4 linked regions of the Caenorhabditis elegans genome follow. The protein of the gene in region 3 purifies or fractionates together with the protein of the main gene of each other region. This does not show direct contact. Each region holds a gene or a part of one and is shown on either strand. Other genes may lie near its edges. The genes, in order: tsp-4, F10E7.5, lpd-6 and Y46E12BL.2.

Region 1 (3,630 bases), on a different chromosome or scaffold from region 3:
GCCATTTATTTTTGGTTTAGTGGAAATTTGTTTGATGTTTGATAGAGCTTTCAACTTAAAATCAATGTTTCCAAAATTTCAGATAAAATTAATATAAGGTCTTATTGGAAATTTATTATTTTGGTTCATCCTTTGCACTACTTCAACTTTGTTGCTCTTTATAAAACTGGAAAAAAATGAAAAACCAACGAAATAGTGCTCCCGTTCAAAAAGCTGAGCTATCGCTTTCTCTAACGACTTTATCAATGCTGTTTTCATTTATTTTTCATTTTGTCGGAGGGGTAAGCATTTCCTTTAGAAATTGCTTTCAATATTATATTTTTTCAGCTAATATTTATAATCAAACAGAAAATGTTTAAATATTTATTTTGTAAATTTTAGTTTTCAAGAAAAAGGCAGCGTCGTCATGATTTTGAAATAGGTACTACCCGCCTGCATTTGTGCCTTTCTGGTGACGTTGTTGTAGAATAGATAGCCCAGCTTTTTGAATTTATCTTATATCAGGAAATATTTGAGAGGCAATACTGAAGATGTTTTGAAAGTTTATTAACATGAAAGTAACAAAAAACTGGAATTTAAATTCATCCAACTTTCTGAATTGCACAAGGTTCTCTTCTGATTCTATCAATGACTATTGCGGCAAAAATCATCAATCCAAGCTCAATCAACATGCAGATCAATCCAAGGAAAGCAACTTGGAGTGTTCCATCTTCAAATACTGCCCAAGTGATGAGAGCACATCCTTCCATACGTACCATTGCATTCTTTGTACCACATTCACAAGATGTTGGAAAATTGCCGGCTGGTAAAAAGTCTTCACAACCGTTTGCTCCACAGCATTTCAACTGAAAACATGCTAGAAATATCAAAAACAAGTTTGAATTGGGCATTACAAATGAGTTTAAGATATAACATATTTTGGGGAAACTTACACTAGTGTGAACCCAATCAAGAGTGTTTTTAGTTCGTGAATTGTTATGATAGTTTGCAACCAATTCGTCACGATAAACACCGACAAACTCTCTTCGAAGCTGAAAAACGTATTTTATAAGATGGAAAAGAGATTAAGCTAAAATCGACATTTTTCTTTTATTCAATTAAAACTTTTTGTTGTACTTTTTGGTAGTTTATTGCAAAAAATTATGTTTAAGTTTAGTGAAATCTTCACACGAGTTTAATTAAACTCACATGATCTTTATTCGCTAAAAACATCACAATTGCCACAATTTTTACGACGAAAACTAAAAAAACCAATACGAGATGTACGGACAACGCAGTTTTGCTTCCAAAGCACACTGCGAAGCAGCCGCATAAACCGAGAACTACCATACATCCCCCAATCATTATAGAAATTGTCCGGTATACATAAAACTGAAAATACATTCTCAATTTTGGAGAAGCAATTGGAAATTATTACCCATTCAATATTGTCCACACTCAAAAAACTAACAAGACTTGTTCTGGCAACTGTTACTTCGAATTGGTGAAGTATCATCCATATAGAGTACCAAGTTATCATTACTCCAACAACCTATAGTTTAGCTACATTTTTTACATAAAGCCAAAATTGACTCACGATTAGTCCCAAGTTGAGGATGAAGAAAAGGAAATTGGCTAATTTCCCACAAACATTGTAGGCCATGTTTTCTTCTGTGCTGAAAGCTGATTTGTCTTATATTACAATTGCTTTACTTAGACAGATTATATCTCGGTTGCTCTTGGTTTTATTTGAAAAAAAAACGTATTCAACTTTTAAGATATACAGAAAGTTTTGGCACGTATTTTGTCTGTTCATATTTAGGCATCCGGGATATAGGATGCCAAAGTCGGGAAAAATGGGTGTGATAAAAAGTTGCTGTAAATGCGCAACCGACATCAATAGCGCCGTCACTAAAACGCCTGCCTACACGGAACTTTGCCTACTTGAGCACGATTTTTCGTTACGCCAAGGACAGGTAGGGTTTATCTTAGAAGATGTTAGGATTACTGTAAGCCAAATATGAATGTAATGTTTTACCAGCTACCCGTAGGTGTATATATATACGTAGTTGCAAAATATAATGACTAGTAACCTAAATTGTTGTTTGTATTTTTTTCAATTAAAAATAACAAAAGGAGTTTTTCTGATATGAGACAGAGAACATTAAATTTGCAGGAAAAACGTTTTGCCTAACAGCTAAAGAAATGTTTTGTTGAGAGGTTTAACTAGTCCTCAAAATGGCTTATAAAGCAACTTAAATACATTTCAGACTGATTATGAAATGTTTGGCGTCGTTGTTAATGGAAACCAAGCTAATAGATGATGTGAAGCAAAAAATGGAAAGTTCAAAAACTCAACTGCGCACACATTGGGTACGTGATTTTATTACGAAACCTAGTTTGAGCAGACTAGACATTTTGCTCTGACATCTAACTTCATATCTTGCTAGAAAACACATGCTACTTCTAATGTAATAATATTAATCACAGACCCCTTCTAGCATGAAATCGTTTGATAAAGGTGTGGGTTCAAATTGATGATTATAAAAAAAAACATTATTTCAATATTTGGATACTTATACAACATAGTTCCTCATGATAATGTCATGATAAAAACTTCTCAGTCCATAACTTTCATTTTTAAATTTTTACAAAATGTGAATATATTTATTAAGTTGTATGAATAGTTCCAATTTTCGATGCATCTTTCCAAAATAAAATTTTCTGTTTTTTAAATGCAGGATGTGTCATATAGAAGATCCACGGACCAACACAAATCTCACAATCATTTCCAAATGGCCGAAGAGCAATGAAATATGCTGTCAGTGATGGAAATATTAAGAATATTAACTGAAAAAAGAATGTTTTCAAAGAAAATTAAACATTTTTATAGACTTACTGCACATGCCAGGTTTGTCAGAAACGATAAAAGCATGGATAATGTTGTCAGCGATAGAGATAATTCCGCTCGTTGGAGAATTGCACTTTTTCGATTATTTTTTAACTTCTTCAGTTTTATTAAAAGTGTTAAATTTGAAATAATGCATAGGAGAAGCCAAATGGCCAAATTGAGCACTAAGCCATTTATCAACTTTATCTGAAAAATTTGAATTTTTCGATAAATAAATTTTAAATTTGCTAACATCAAACCAGTTCCCCGTAAACCAAATAAAAATAGAACCAAATTTATAAGGGCCCAAAAGTTGTCGACATGATCCTAGAGCCGGTATCAGGGAGAATGTAAATATGAATGGGTAGAGGTAGATGAATGGAATTGCAAAATTAGATAGCCGGGCGCATAGCTAAAAAAAATTTAGCAATTGAATATTAAAACATGAGTTACTTGATTATGTCTGCGCGGGAAATAAACGGGAATCAATCGTAACGTTGATAAAAGGAATGGAAATAGCCATGAAACATAAGTGAAATATATAGAAAAGAAAAATAAGACTTTTAGGAAATGATTTGGTTGTTGAGATGCACACCAAGATGTCATGATTCCGGTGAATGGGAGACGGATAGTGATATAATCAGATATCATGTAAAATACGCTCTGAAAATAAGAACCATTTCATGAACTTTATGTGTTTTTGAAGTTAATCTTGTCGCTGCGATGGGTAAATTGCTTTAAAATACTGACTATAAGATAAT
Region 2 (3,418 bases), on a different chromosome or scaffold from region 3:
GAAGGATTTATCAGTAAAAGTCAATAAATAGAACCAAGTTAGACATTTTAGAATTTGATACGATTTTTCGTAAGACTATTTTGGTTGCATATGATCTATCTTTTTTGAGCCTGAACTATGAAAATACATTATTATTATTATTATTATTGAGAATTGAATTTCAAGAAATTTTACAGAATCATTTTCAATTTAACATATAACGCTCACCGTTGATGAACATCCATTAAACCACTATACATATTTAAATTACTAAATACTGTGTTCTTTTTCTAAACGGAATAGTTTTGTGGTTTTCGTTTATATCTTTCAAATCAATCTTGTGTAGAATCCTACTAGGAACTGGTCATTCATTGATTTTCTAAAAACCTAATTACTTGTTTCCGGAAAACTTCAAGTTTTCATGGTTTCGGGTCCTGGCACGAGTGCAACTTTTTAGCTACCGTACCCGCAAGTAGGATAGTCCTTCAATCTTTCACATTGCATTATCCTTTTTCATATTTGAATTAGTTCCAATAGTGAATCTTTAACGATATTTGCAACAAAAATATTTTAAAACTAGAGGTATCCGAGGTAGAACAGCGGAGTACGCGCGGGTACTGTAGCTGGAAAGTTCCACGTGCCAAGACACGAAACCGTAGTTTTGTTCAACTGCAACTATTTGCAAACAGCTCTGCTAAATAACGAAAATTTAGAATTCAAGATTTTGTTTCAAAAATTTCAAATATTCAATGAAGCGTGCTCCATCTTTTATTCGAGTCATGATGATTGAGATATGGAATTGGGAATTTCCGGAAACTGAAGAAACTGAATAAATTACATTTTGAGATTTTATGTATTAAAGATGATACGCTTTAATTCAAATGGAGCACTATGTCTAGTCGAATTTATCTAACAATTGAGTTTTGGCAATCGAATGAATTTATGGTAACCTGTTGTTTTTCATCGTTCAAACGCAAATTTAAGAGTCTGGAAAATAGAGAGAATGCATGGATGAACCAAAAAAAAAAAGAAAGAAAAATGCAGTGCTCACAACAAAACGAGAAAATGACTCTGCGTCTCTACATCCTCCTCAATCTTTTATTCGACATTTCCTCTGAAATTCGGTTTCAATTTCGAAATGAAAAAGAAGAGAAAAAAAGAGAAGTGGAATTTAAAAGCGACATGGAGAGGAGACGGCATTATTGATTTGGAGAGCTCATGGCTCTTGCTCGAAGAGCATGTATGCGCGACGACGTGAATTGAGAGAAGTGAGGGAAACGAGAAAAGGAGATGAAGTAAGAGAAGAAGAAGCTTCTCATCTGACGATACTTGATTGGGCTAATTGGGATGCAGATGAATCTTATGGGAATATTCAGATATAGAAGGGACCTACCATCTTCCAATTTTTTTTCTGAAACTTGAAACTGATCTAGATTTTCAGTCTAAACTGTCTGAAACTTCAACGTGGATATTCCATCTCAAAGAACTGATACAGAAAGCATGTATTATTTCACATAGGGAACTCGGAAAGTTTTGTTTCGTGTTGTTTCGTGTTGGATCTATAATTCTACATATCCCCTTCTGATATTTTTTCGTTTGAAACCATAAAAAGATGAAACTTATTTTAAGGTTACCGCTACTACATTCTCATTAAACCTATTTTAAAGAAATCATAGCATCTGACAATGTCAACCAATTTTTGTATCTTCTCCGCTATTGAGACTTCTTTAAATGAACTTGAATATTAGTTTTGGTTACGGTGTGCAAAGGTACGCAAACACCACTACGCGCAGTTGCACACAATCATTTTCTCTGTTTTTTTTTCTTGTTTCTTCATTTCTTCAACTTTTCCTATGTTGTTACTGCTACTTTTCAGCTTTTTATAGTTTAAATTGCAATTAAATTGTAATTTTCAGCAGTACTCTACACAATGGCTCGTTCCCGCAGAGATAAAAATGGTAATTTTGTTGTAAAATTAAATTATAGGCAAACTTTTTATATTTCAGTGTCACTCACAAAAGTCAAGAAGAAGACTAAGGACACAAAGAACAATTTGGTTAATGAGGTAAAATTTAAGAGTGAAGTGCTGACTAAATAATTATTTTTTTCCAGGTCCGTGCAAGTGTCGATCAGTACAAAAACCTTTTCATTTTCACGATTGCTAACATGAGAAGCACACGATTCATTGCCGTTAGTTAAAATCAGATTGAATTAAAATTTGATTACTTTTGAATTACAGATCAGACAAAAGTACAAGGAGAATTCAAGATTTTTCTTCGGAAAGAACAATGTCATTTCTATCGCTCTTGGAAAACAGAAGTCTGATGAGTACGCAAATCAGCTTCACAAAGCCAGTGCAATTCTGAAGGGTCAATGCGGTCTCATGTTCACCAACATGTCCAAAAAGGAAGTTGAGGCGTAAGTTTTGAGTAACCATTGCTTCTCTAATAGCATTTTATCTTCAGTGAATTCTCCGAAGCTTCAGAAGAAGATTACGCTCGTGTAGGAGATGTTGCCACAGAGACAGTTGTTCTACCAGAAGGACCAATTTCACAATTTGCCTTCTCTATGGAGCCACAACTGCGAAAACTTGGTCTCCCAACGAAACTTGACAAAGGAGTTATCACCCTCTACCAACAGTTTGAGGTGTGCAAAGAAGGCGAACCGCTGACTGTGGAGCAGGCTAAAATCTTGAAGCACTTCGAAGTGAAGATGTCTCAATTCCGTCTTATCTTCAAAGCTCACTGGAACAAGAAAGACGGCTTCAAAGAGCTTGATGCTTAACTTCTGCTAATCATCCTTTTATTGTTAATTTGTTGATTTGATTCTGATTCTCCTTGATTTGAAAACACCCACTCCATCCGAAAATTGTCGTTTATCATCTTGTTTTTTTGTTTATCCAATAAATTGTTACTTGTTTCAGAGTATTAATATTGATAAATATAGAAGGAGGTTAAATCCCAAACTTATTAAATATCCAATGATGATTATAAACCAACGAGAAAGCTGATTGTTCAGGAACATGTGGAGGGTTTTGTTATCTCGTTCCTCAATATTAGCTCAAGCCAGAGGATTGGCAACCAAGAGAAACGCACCTGAACCGAAGTTTACACAAAGTGCCGCATTTCAAGTAATTACCTCGAAGCATAAATAATTATTTTAGTAGATGTCTTTCAGGGTCGTGGATCTCGAGGAATGCCACAATTCAAGCCAGATTACTACTCATCAGACGCGTATGCCAACAAAAAAGTGCTATCAGCTATCGGAAGTCTTATAGCAATTGTAATCTATTTCGGTTGGCTCAGAGAACCATCAGATTTGGACGAAATATGGAGCGCTCCACCACACATTTTGACCTCCAATTTGGAGAGAAAAATGCTTCGAGAACAAATTAAGCAAGCTCAAGAGAAGGGAATGGATACAGCGCTTCTACGAGCAC
Region 3 (5,778 bases):
CTACAGTAATTCTTTAAATGGATACAGTAGCGCTTGTGCCGATTTACGGACCCGATTTTCGAAACGGATTAAATTGATTTATTTATCGATAGAATATTAAAACTAAGCAAATGATACGAGAAAATTCGAAAAGAAATTCATTCCCGTAAATTGACACAAGCACTACTGTAGCCATTTAAAAAATTACTGTAGTTTTCGCTGCGAGATATTTTGAGCGTCGGATATGTTGTGCAGTACGCATTCTCAGAATTTTGTGTTCCCGTGATACATACAGGCCTGAAATTGTGAAATTTATTGATTTTTCAATGAAATAAAGCAGGAAACTAGCTAATTTAAAGTTTTAAAGCAATTAGCTCCTTTGATGTGACAAGTTTGCGTCCGTGAGCCCAATCTGTGAAAGCATCACAAATTACGCGCAAACATGATTTTTCTCGGTAAAATTGTTAAGTCCCACATTTTTTCAGCGACATTCCTGATTCTAAATTAGCGGGTAAACAGGAAAACAGTCTGATAAATTCATGATTATAACGATAACAATAACGAACATTTAAAAAAATAAAAATGGAGAATGGAGAAACAACAAATTGCAAAAAACAACAACTGATATCAGAATTAACGACGACCTCCTCGGAAACCGCCGCCTCGATCTCCACCTCGCCCACCACGGAATCCACCACCTCCGCCGCGTCCTCTGAATCCTCCTCGATCGCCTCCACGGAAACCACCGCCACCACGTCCTCCGAATCCACCTCTAAATCCTCCATCACGATCTCCCGATCTTCCACGGAAGCCTCCACGATCTCCACCACGATCTGATGAACGTCCTCTGAAGCCTCCTCGGTCGCCACCACCTCCACGGAAGCCACCACGATCCACGGATCTTCCTCTAAAGCCACCTCCATCACGATCGCGACCTCTGAAGCCTCCACGATCTCCGCCACGTCCGCGGAAGCCTCCACGATCTTCTCCTCTTCCTCTGAATCCACCTCGGAATCCCCCACGACTATCCTCATATCTTGGACGCTTCGAGGCTTCAGATGTACCCCATTCCTCGTTGGCACGCTTCAGATCTCTGCAAAAATATAAAAAATCAATTAAAAAGTCTTCAATTACGGGGATCTATACCTTTCCCGATTCATCGCAATCTCTCTATCCTTCTCCTTCTGATTCTCAACTTCTTCAACTTGTCCAGTAGCGGCAGCTTGCTTACGAGCAGCATTCTCTCGAATCGCCTTCACCTCTGCCTCCTCAGCATCCTGTTGCTCCTTGACAATCGTAAGTCTTCGAATGACACGTTGCTCACTTTCCTGCTCACGACGCTTCTTCATCTGCTTCTTCTTGTCCATATGAGCTCTCAGTTTTATCAGTTCATCTGGAGTCTTCGCATTATGCTTGTGATAGAGCACCTCTCCCTCATCGATTCCTTCTTCAATTTTGACGAGTTCCAGAGTCAGTCGGGGTCCGATCTCGTGAAGACGGACGTTGCTCTTCTGGCCAACTCCGCAGCCACGTCCTTCTGAAATGTCCTGTGGTAGTTCGACTTCTTGCTGATCTCCTTCGAATTCGGAATCGCTGAGCTGTCCGGGGCTGGAAAAAGAAGGGAAATTTAAATAAATTGAATATTTTTTAATAATAATTTTGTGATTTATCTGAAAATATCGTTTATTTCAATTGGAAAAATTCGAAAACAGTCCTCGAAAATCGTCTAAAAATTGTTTTTTCCCGGAAATTTCCAATTTTCAGACCATTTTAGAGGTTTTTTTTCAATTTTTCGATCTGAAATAAACGCGCGATGCCTCCCAAAATTAATCATTTTATGAAAAATTTGAATTTTTTTAATGGAAATTTATTAATAACATTAGAAAAATTCAATTTCGTTCGAATTCTGAACTGTCCGGGGCTGGAAAAGGATGATTTTTGAAGAATTATTGAATTTTCAGAGAGAAAAAATTCAAATTCTTCAGAAAAACCATAAATTTTGAGAGGCATCACGTTTATTTCAGTTGGAAAAATTGAAAAAAAAAATGCTCAAAAATCGTCTGAGTATAGTTTTTTCCCGAAAATTTTCCAGTTTTCTGACCAGTTTTGAGGGGTTTTCCTATTTTTAAAACTGATATGAACGTTTTTTTCAGATAAATCACTGAATTTCAGGCTCAGTTTGTAGAATTTCTGAACAATTCTCACTTCAAAAAGTAGTCACTGATGTCTTTGTAGGTACTCAAATTCGGAATATTCTTTCCCATCGTCTTTTCCGCTTGCATAAGCTTTTTCACAGACTTGTTGAGGCCTGAGGCGACGACTCGAATTGCGCTGAAAAAAAAATTTATATAATTATATTTTAGAGAAATTCATAGCACTTACAAATGCCTCATTTGAATTTCGTCAGTTTCTTCGTCATAACTGACGATCAGGCAGCGTTTCAGGTTTCCAAGTTGAATCTGAAATTTTTTGTATAATTTTTCTGAAACTTGACAAAAAAATCGATTTAAAGGTGGACTACGATCAGGGGGAAAATTGCTTTAAAACACGCCTATGGGGCCACAATGACCGAATATCATGATAAAAAATTTCAAAAAATTTTTCTAGATTTTATAAGATTTTTTGAAAATTGGAAAAATCACAGTTTTCACCTAATTATTTTTGAATTTTCGCCAATTGAATTTGTTCGGTGGAGCGCGCTTGCATTATTTTTTAAAATTAATTTTATTTATTCTCGTTATTTGACTGATTTTCTTCATTTTCTATGTTTTTTCTCGGAAAATGGAAGAAATAAACAAGACAAATGCAAAATGTTTGTTAAAAACTAATTGAAAATGAGTAAAACTGAAATATACTAATTTCAGGCTTGTTGTCGTCGGAACTCATAATTTTACAGTTTTATGCTTTTTCAGTTACTTTTAAACAAACATTTTGCATTTTTCTTGTTTATTTCTTCCATTTTCCGAGGAAAAAACATAGAAAATGAAGAAAATCAGTCAAATAACGAGAATAAATAAAACTAATTAAAAAAAAATAATGCAAGCGCGCTCCACCGAACAAATTCAATTGGCGGAAATTCAAAAATAATTAGGTGAAAACTGTGATTTTTCCAATTTTCAAAAAATCATATAAACTCTAGAACATTTTTTTGAATTTTTTATAATGATATTCGGTCATTGTGACCACATAGGCGTGTTTTAAAGCAATTTTCCCCCTGATCGTAGTCCATCTTTAAAAATTTTACCGTATCGACATTAATGGAAGGGAACATATTCTGAATAAAAGTCTGAACCAATGAGAGATGCTTCTGCGTTCCGTCGCCAAATCCGTTCATCACAACGAGCGGCGAGGATTTGAACAGTTTATCAGTGGCAACTGGTCGCTTTTGACAATTAACAACGTGGCGAGCCAGGGAGTATTGTTTAACTGGAAATTAAAATAATTAAATTACTGAATTTTATTTAAAATCGATAATTGGCAACCTTTAAACGATAACGTCGGTCCTTGGGAGAAACGCATCATTCTCAGCTGCAAGGAAGCATCACTGGAAGTGAGAACCATCATATTGGTGACTCCAAGTACCGCACCGTTCACGATAAAATCCTTGATATTGTTTCTTTTGAGAATTTTCAAGTTTTTCGCTGTATTCGGCTCGACGAGATTTCTCAAATCCGACTCCAGGCCCTTCACGTACTTTCCGACGTCTCCGCGATGAATAACCAAGCAATGAGGCTGTCTTGCTAGTTCAATTTCTTTATTTTCCAAAAACTTTTGCTTCTGTAGCTTCTTCACGAATTTTTCCTGATGATAAAGGGCATCTTTTTGACTTAGAGCATCTACATTTCCGCGATTATGAGCTCCAGACTTTCTCTGCTTCTTTCCTTTCTTCATTTTCATTTTTTCGAACTGAAATTTATAAAGATTATTGTTAAATTAAGTGTATTTAGGTTAGAAAATGGAACGAAAAAAATTGCGAAAAAAAAAAAATACGAAGTGTGCAGTTTGCCGTCAAAGTGTTTGCGTCCAATGCGCCATAGCTGACGACAAGTTTTTTACCGCGATTTCCGCCAATTTCAAATTAAACTTTAAATCGATTTTCTCAGTTTCTGTACAGATCTGTTTCCAGATAATGAATCGCTTCGTCACAAGATCCAAGCCTACTCAACCTACTAAACGTGTTGCTCCAGCTCCGGCAAGTGGAAATGAGGAAAATATCGTTGCGCCTGAACCTCAAAAAACGCTCGAGGAGCCCTCTGTAATGGAAAAGCTGCAGCACGCAATACGAGAGAAGGATGCTCAATTCACATTTGATATTTTATCGAAAAATAGGCCATTTGATCAGGCGATGAATGTAAGCTTTCTTGGAGCATTAGTTTTTTTTTGGGGAAAAAAATGAAAATTTTCAGAAGACCATGACAAAAATGGAATTTTCGCCGGATTACTCCGATCCTTCCTCAGAATTTATGCTTCTCTCAGTGGATGAATCAGTCATCGGAGCCTTTAGTGAAGGTCAAAGCCTCACAATTCGCGGAGATTCAACTGACGACGCGGTTCTGTGCACAGACAACGCCACATTTCCCATGAAAATTATCGAATCCGCCACAACGGTTCTTCTTCTTCATAAATGCCTGGAAGCTCCAGATTCACCGACGCTTCCGAATTTTCAGGTGAAAACTGTCAGTTGTTTTTATTTTTATTTATTTTAGTTTATTCGAAATTCAAAATTTTTTAAAAATTTAATTAAATTCAGATCGGTGGAAAATGCTTCTCAACAGGCGAGCTGTGTCCCCAAGTGGATGTTTTGAGCATCGGACGGCTTAAGGATATGCTCCGCGAGCAGGAGCTACGTTGGGACTGGAAGGATCGTGAGGAAGAGGAGAATCTAAAGGGTTATAAGCTTCGAGACCTGCTGAATAGTGTTCAAATGAGTGTTGAAGAAGTGAAAATTGCACTCAATGATTTGCCGGTTGTAAAGTTTTCAAGCGGAAGATATCGATATTTATCTCATAAATATCGTGGAGAAATGCTCGGATTAATTGTGGAGCTTCTCGATGAAGATTCAATCGGTGATGTGAAGCTGGAGAAGGTAGAATAATCGCCATATCTTACGCGCAAGATATCCCGCCGGGAAGAGACGAAATTACTGTATCCGTGTCGATTTACGAGCCGCGCTTGCATCATTATTCGAAATTAATCTTTTTTTTTGAATTTCGACCAGCAATTTTTCATTTTCAGATGTTTTTCGTATTTTTATTTTTAGATTTTTTCAGTATTTTCCGGAAAAAAAACTGAATTTTTCAATTTTCCGTTGTTTTTTCCCAACAAAAATCGTAAAAACCGAGAATTTCAGTTTTTCCGAGGTTTTGCTGTTAAAAAAATAGAATAAAAGACCCAGAAACTCCAGAAATTTCAGATTTTTTTCGGTATTTTCCGGAAAAAAAACTGAATTTTTCAATTTTTCTGTTGTTTTTTTCAAACAGAAATCGAAAAAAAATCCGGAAAAACACGAAAATTCAGTTTTTCGGAGTTTTTTCTCTGTGTTTCCAAAAAAAAAAAAACATTAAAAACCCCAAAAAAAAACACGAAAATTTCAGTTTTTCAGAGTTTTTTCAAAAAAAAATTTAAAAAATTTAATAAAGACTCACATTTCTGAGAAAAATTGAATTTCAAAATTTCTCAAAAATAAATTATTTATTGAAGAATCCATTAAAAATACGCAAAACGACTGAAAATGAAAATTGCTGGTCGAAGTTAAAAAAAAATTAAATTCGAATAATGATTCGCGGCCCGTAAATCGAC
Region 4 (4,905 bases), on a different chromosome or scaffold from region 3:
TGATTTGAAAAGTTGAATTTTAACTGTAAATTCGAAATTTTCGAGTTAGAAACACATTTTCCGTCGATTTTTTGGATTCTAAAGTGAAAACTCAATTTTTTCGATTTTTTTTCATTTTTCGCGGGATTTTTTACTTTTTGGCTGCAAAATAACTTTTTAGCAGTTATTTTTTGGTAATTTGAGACCGATTTCTTCTCTCAAGCCAAATTACGAACCCAAAAAGCTTTCAATATGATTCAAAATCAGTTGTCCAACTGCTCCGCTCGCCGGATGCAACCCGTTATCCGTCGCAGTAACCGGATCGGTAAGAACCGCCCGGATCACACGACGAGCCATCGTACGGACCCACGGCTTGTCGTGAGCCGCCAGAGCAGCCACAGAGACGAGCATATTCCGCGTATTGGCGCTGGACCAGACGGACGCTTGCTGGGCACGGAGGATGATTCCGAGCACTGAAATGAGGTTTTTCAACGCGGATCCTTCGGTGCTATCGACGTTTTCTAGGAGTTTTGTGTAGAGAATCTGCAAATTATTGATTTTTTTAAATTATAGGTGGATTAAAAACATGCCTATGGGATCACAATGACCGAATATCATGATTTAAAAAATCCAAAAAATTTTTCTAAATTTTATATGATTTTTTTTTGAAAATTGCAAATACCCCATTTCTCCCCTAATTCCTATTTAAATTCCCGCGAATTGGATTCGTGCGGTAGAGCGCTGGCACGTTTTCTAAATTTATTTATTTTATTTTTTGTTATTTATTTTCGTCCGATTTTTCATGTTTTCAGTGTATTTTTGCTTGAAATTTGAAGGAAAATTTGAGATAAATGCAAATAATTGATGAAAAAGCAACGAGACACAGTCTGAAAAAAGAAGAACTAACGATTTTAAACGACATCGAATCAGAATTGGCTGATTTCCTAGATTTACGATTTACGCATTTACGCAAATCTATTACGCAAATCGCAAATCTAGGAAATCAGCCAATTCTGGTTCGATGTCGTTTAAAATCGTTAGTTCTTCTTTTTTCAGACTGTGTCTCGTTGCTTTTTCATCAATTATTTGCATTTATCTCAAATTTTCCTTCAAATTTCAAGCAAAAATACACTGAAAACATGAAAAATCGGACGAAAATAAATAGCAAAAAATAAAATAAACAAAATTAAAAAACGTGCAAGCGCGCTCTATCGAACAAATCCAATTGGCGGAAATTTAAATAGAAATTAGGGGAAAATTGTGATTTTTCCAATTTTCAAAAAATCATATAAAATCTGGAAAATTTTTTTGAACATTTTTATCATGATATTTGGTCATTGTGACCCCATAGGCATGTTTTAAAGCAATTTCCCCACTGCCGCTGCTTCACAAAAAGCCCATACCTGCACAAATCTGTGAAACTGAGCTTGAAGCACCTCTTTCGGCACCTTTCTCACAATCAGATGAAGCAGATAAGCGATTGCTGCCGTTCTTCTGGGATTTCCCAGCGAGGATCCTTCCAGCGCGGTCATCAGAGCCGCACAGTACTCAACGTCGGATTCTTTGCCTGAAAATCCCTAATTTTTAGGCCTAAAATTATGGGGGAATTAAACTACCATCCCGCTCTTTGATGACTTCAGCGATTGCTGCCAAAACCGAGACAACCTCTGCTTGAATAGAGGACCCAGATCTGAAGAAATAAATCTATCAGTCTACGGCTCGTGCTTTGGAAAAGAGATTCAAGAGTTTAAAATCAAATTTGAAAATAAAAAATTCCCGGTCTCCTGGAGTGTTATAAATAATTATTAGAGCGCGCTCGTGCGGCACCTCACGAACTCCAGAAGTCGCGGGAATTCGTTCCGCGGGGACAGCAGTTTTTTTGCTATTTTTGGCTCCTATAGGAAATATTTTTGATTTTTTGTTTTATAATATTCTTGAGAAGCATCATCCGAATTGAAAATGTGTAAAATTATGAAATTTAGCCGAAAACTGAAAGTTTTACAGAAGGAAGCCACTACAGTTTTAAAAAAATGTATCAGGATCGCCAGTTTTGCGTTTTATGTGTCGTAAAATATGTCATTTTGTAGAGAATTAAAAGTTTCATACGAATTTTCGTTTGAAAATTTAAAATTGCTTTTATTAAAAGCTTAAAAATTTAAGAAACAAGATTTTAACGTAAAATTGTTGATTTTTTGAATATTTTTATATTAGAAATTAAAGAATTAAAATTTCAAACGAAAATTCTCATGAAACTTTTAATTCTCTACAAAATGACATATTTTACGACGCATAACTCGCAAAACTGGCAATCCTGAAACATTTTTTTAAAAACTATAATGACTTCCTTCTGTAAAACTTTCAGTTTTCGGGCAAATTTCATAATTTTACACATTTTCAATTCGGATGATGCTTCTCAACAATATTATAAAACAAAAAATCAAAAATATTTCTTATAGAAGCCAAAAATAGCAAAAAACTGCTGTCCCCGCTGAACGAATTCCCGCGAATTCTGGAGTTCGTGAGGTGCCGAGCCAGCGCGCTCTAATAATTATGAACACTCCAGGAGGTCGTGAAATTTGTTGAATTTTTGGAAAAAACGCTAAAATTCTCACTTCCAGACCCGATTGACAGAATCAAACGCAGGATTTGTGCAAGCCGTGAATCCGGAGAGCTTAGACAAGCCTCCCTCGGAAACCATGCTTTTCGACGAAGAGCCGATATCCATCGAATGAATCGGAAGAGCCGAGAGCAGCATATCGTCGGCGGCGGCGGTGTTCATGAGACGATCCTCGACGGCAAGCATGCCGGCTCCGCCGAAAGAAGCATTTCTAGCGGCATTGGCAGCGGCGCGATGCTTGCTTCTCGTTGGGTTGCTTTCACATCTGAAAAAACAAAAAAACAATTAAATTTAATTATATTCAACGAATTTATCGACGTTTTCACTCACGCTGATCCTGAATTAAATTTCGCTGCTCCCTTCTTACTTGTACGATGACGGAAATTGCCACCTCCCATTGTTTTTATCTGAAAAAATGACAAATTTGATGGAAAATTCCTAAAACAAGGCGATAAACTGTTGGAAAACGATGAAAACTGATAATTTGAGTGCGCAAAAATTTATTTTATTGATTTTAAGTAAAAAATAACTGAAAAAAACCTTTAAAATGCAAGATTCTCAGCAAGAAATCGGCGAAGAATAGCGAAAAAAAATAAATTGTTCGGTTTTCGTGGCGAGACCCGAGGTGTCCAGAGGCCGCGTCCCCCCGCGTTTTCTAGGCCGTCACGCATTGAAATTGGCGGAAACTCAAATCGTGAAGCGATATTGAACGACAAAAGCTTTTGGAAAAGAGTCAAAATATTTTAAAACATTGTAAAACAAAATTCCAATTTTCATTCAGGTATAAAAGCAATATATTCAATATATAAATCTGAGTAATTCACAATTTGACAGCGAAATTTGCAAAAAAAAAAGTGGTGAAAAACCGTGGGGATTTGTGGGTTAGTGGAAAAGAGGAGAAAAATGTGAATTTTTGGCGAGAAAATGATCAATATCACTCAATCTCATACAACAAATATTCCTTCATAACCGGCGGGATCATCAGCGGCTTGATGCGTTTGTCGGGGTCTGGTCCCATTATGCTTCGGAAACGACGTCGACACAGTTCGAACAACGGTAGCATCTCGACTGCTGAAAAAAAAAAACAAGAATTTCGATTTGGTTCTGGCTTTTCTCGAATTTTTACAACTAAAATTTAGCTAAAACCGAGCCGAGCCGCGACGCGACGCGACACGCAAAGCGCCGTAAATCTACACCGGCCGTGGCCGATTCACAGCGCGTTGCGTGTCGCGTCGCGGCTCGGTTTTATTTGTAAAACATGATTTTAGAAACCGCGATTTCTCAGAAAAGAAACTCCGAGAAGGAGATCTACAAAAAGACAGCCATCACACCCTTTTTTCTGCGCCGCACGTTTACAAAACTCACGTTCCAGTGATCCCAGATGTGTCATGGTAATCTCACAGTCTCCATAAAGAGTCGCCACAGCTGGGTATAATCGTTTTCCCCGGAGATTTTGGAATACAACTCCGAGGTACTCGTTGTCTGTGGCGAATGACAGATTTCCTTGCTCCATGTCCAGAATGCAATAGATCTGAAAATTGATTGTTTTTGGGTTTTTGATCAAAAATTTCAAAAAAAAAAATGTTTTTTTTGTTTTTTATAGCAAAAATGGTTTTTTTGGTATTTTTTGGCAAAAAATTGGTTTTTTTTGTTACAAAATTGAGATTTTTTGGGTTTTTTTAAAGCAAAAAGAGATTTTTTGCCAAAAATAGGTATTTTATTGGCAAAAGATAATTTTTGCCACTTTTTTTTTGGCAAAATTGAGATTTCGGTTTTTTTGACAAAACTTGATTTTTTTGGGTTTTTCAAAACGAAAATTGATTTTTTATCTGGCGAAAATGGTTTTTTTTTTGGGTTTTATGGCCAGAAATTGATTTTTTCGGTTTTTTTTTTTGGGAAAATTGTTCACCTTTTCAGGAACATTGAAACCATCTCGACCATTCCCGTACGGATACTTCCACTTCCACGAACCGTAGTGACATTCTCGTGTAGCTGAAAAAATTGAAGAGTTTGGGTTTTCAATCGCTTTTTCTAAATTTTCTTTTTGTATTTAACATTTAAAACTGGCCAATTTGCATAATATTTGCCTATGGGGTCACAATGACCGAATACCATGATTAAAAATTCAAAATAATTTTCTAGATTTTATATGATTTTTTGAAAATTGAAAAAATCTCACTTTTCCCCTAATTCCTTTTTGAATTTCCGCCAATTGATTCGTTCGATGGAGCGCGCTTGCATTTAAAAAATTTTTTTTTCATCAATTTTTCGCATTTTTGACTGATTTTTCATGTTTTTTCGTGTAATTT

What was found.
Region 1: the proteins of lpd-6 (region 3) and tsp-4 fractionate together in Caenorhabditis elegans (co-fractionation; one large-scale study listed by BioGRID). This does not show direct contact.
Region 2: the proteins of lpd-6 (region 3) and F10E7.5 fractionate together in Caenorhabditis elegans (co-fractionation; one large-scale study listed by BioGRID). This does not show direct contact.
Region 4: the proteins of lpd-6 (region 3) and Y46E12BL.2 fractionate together in Caenorhabditis elegans (co-fractionation; one large-scale study listed by BioGRID). This does not show direct contact.

What each region holds. Positions count from the first base shown.
Region 1 is NC_003282.8:12,518,590-12,522,219, forward strand, and holds tsp-4 (Tetraspanin), read right to left. Parts: upstream 1,662-3,630; 5' UTR 1,643-1,661; coding exon 1,577-1,642; intron 1,532-1,576; coding exon 1,418-1,531; intron 1,372-1,417; coding exon 1,189-1,371; intron 1,032-1,188; coding exon 933-1,031; intron 846-932; coding exon 582-845; 3' UTR 530-581; downstream 1-529. Other genes in the region: sru-13 (Serpentine Receptor, class U), read right to left, coding at 2,650-2,829, 2,879-3,076, 3,123-3,281, 3,323-3,532.
Region 2 is NC_003280.10:7,110,083-7,113,500, forward strand, and holds F10E7.5 (Ribosome assembly factor mrt4), read left to right. Parts: upstream 1-1,898; 5' UTR 1,899-1,909; coding exon 1,910-1,937; intron 1,938-1,985; coding exon 1,986-2,044; intron 2,045-2,091; coding exon 2,092-2,169; intron 2,170-2,218; coding exon 2,219-2,397; intron 2,398-2,444; coding exon 2,445-2,763; 3' UTR 2,764-2,900; downstream 2,901-3,418. Other genes in the region: F10E7.6 (uncharacterized protein), read left to right, coding at 3,002-3,109, 3,157-3,418.
Region 3 is NC_003279.8:3,143,909-3,149,686, forward strand, and holds lpd-6 (Brix domain-containing protein), read right to left. Parts: upstream 3,886-5,778; 5' UTR 3,877-3,885; coding exon 3,462-3,876; intron 3,406-3,461; coding exon 3,224-3,405; intron 2,439-3,223; coding exon 2,362-2,438; intron 2,311-2,361; coding exon 2,185-2,310; intron 1,588-2,184; coding exon 1,126-1,587; intron 1,073-1,125; coding exon 613-1,072; 3' UTR 503-612; downstream 1-502. Other genes in the region: dscc-1 (Sister chromatid cohesion protein DCC1), read left to right, coding at 4,109-4,330, 4,386-4,655, 4,730-5,065.
Region 4 is NC_003280.10:15,231,251-15,236,155, reverse strand, and holds the start of Y46E12BL.2 (Ribosomal RNA-processing protein 12-like conserved domain-containing protein), read right to left. Parts: upstream 3,004-4,905; 5' UTR 2,995-3,003; coding exon 2,927-2,994; intron 2,862-2,926; coding exon 2,592-2,861; intron 1,670-2,591; coding exon 1,596-1,669; intron 1,547-1,595; coding exon 1,383-1,546; intron 523-1,382; coding exon 216-522; intron 1-215. Other genes in the region: spsb-2 (SPRY domain-containing SOCS box protein 1), read right to left, coding at 3,531-3,667, 3,962-4,127, 4,506-4,588.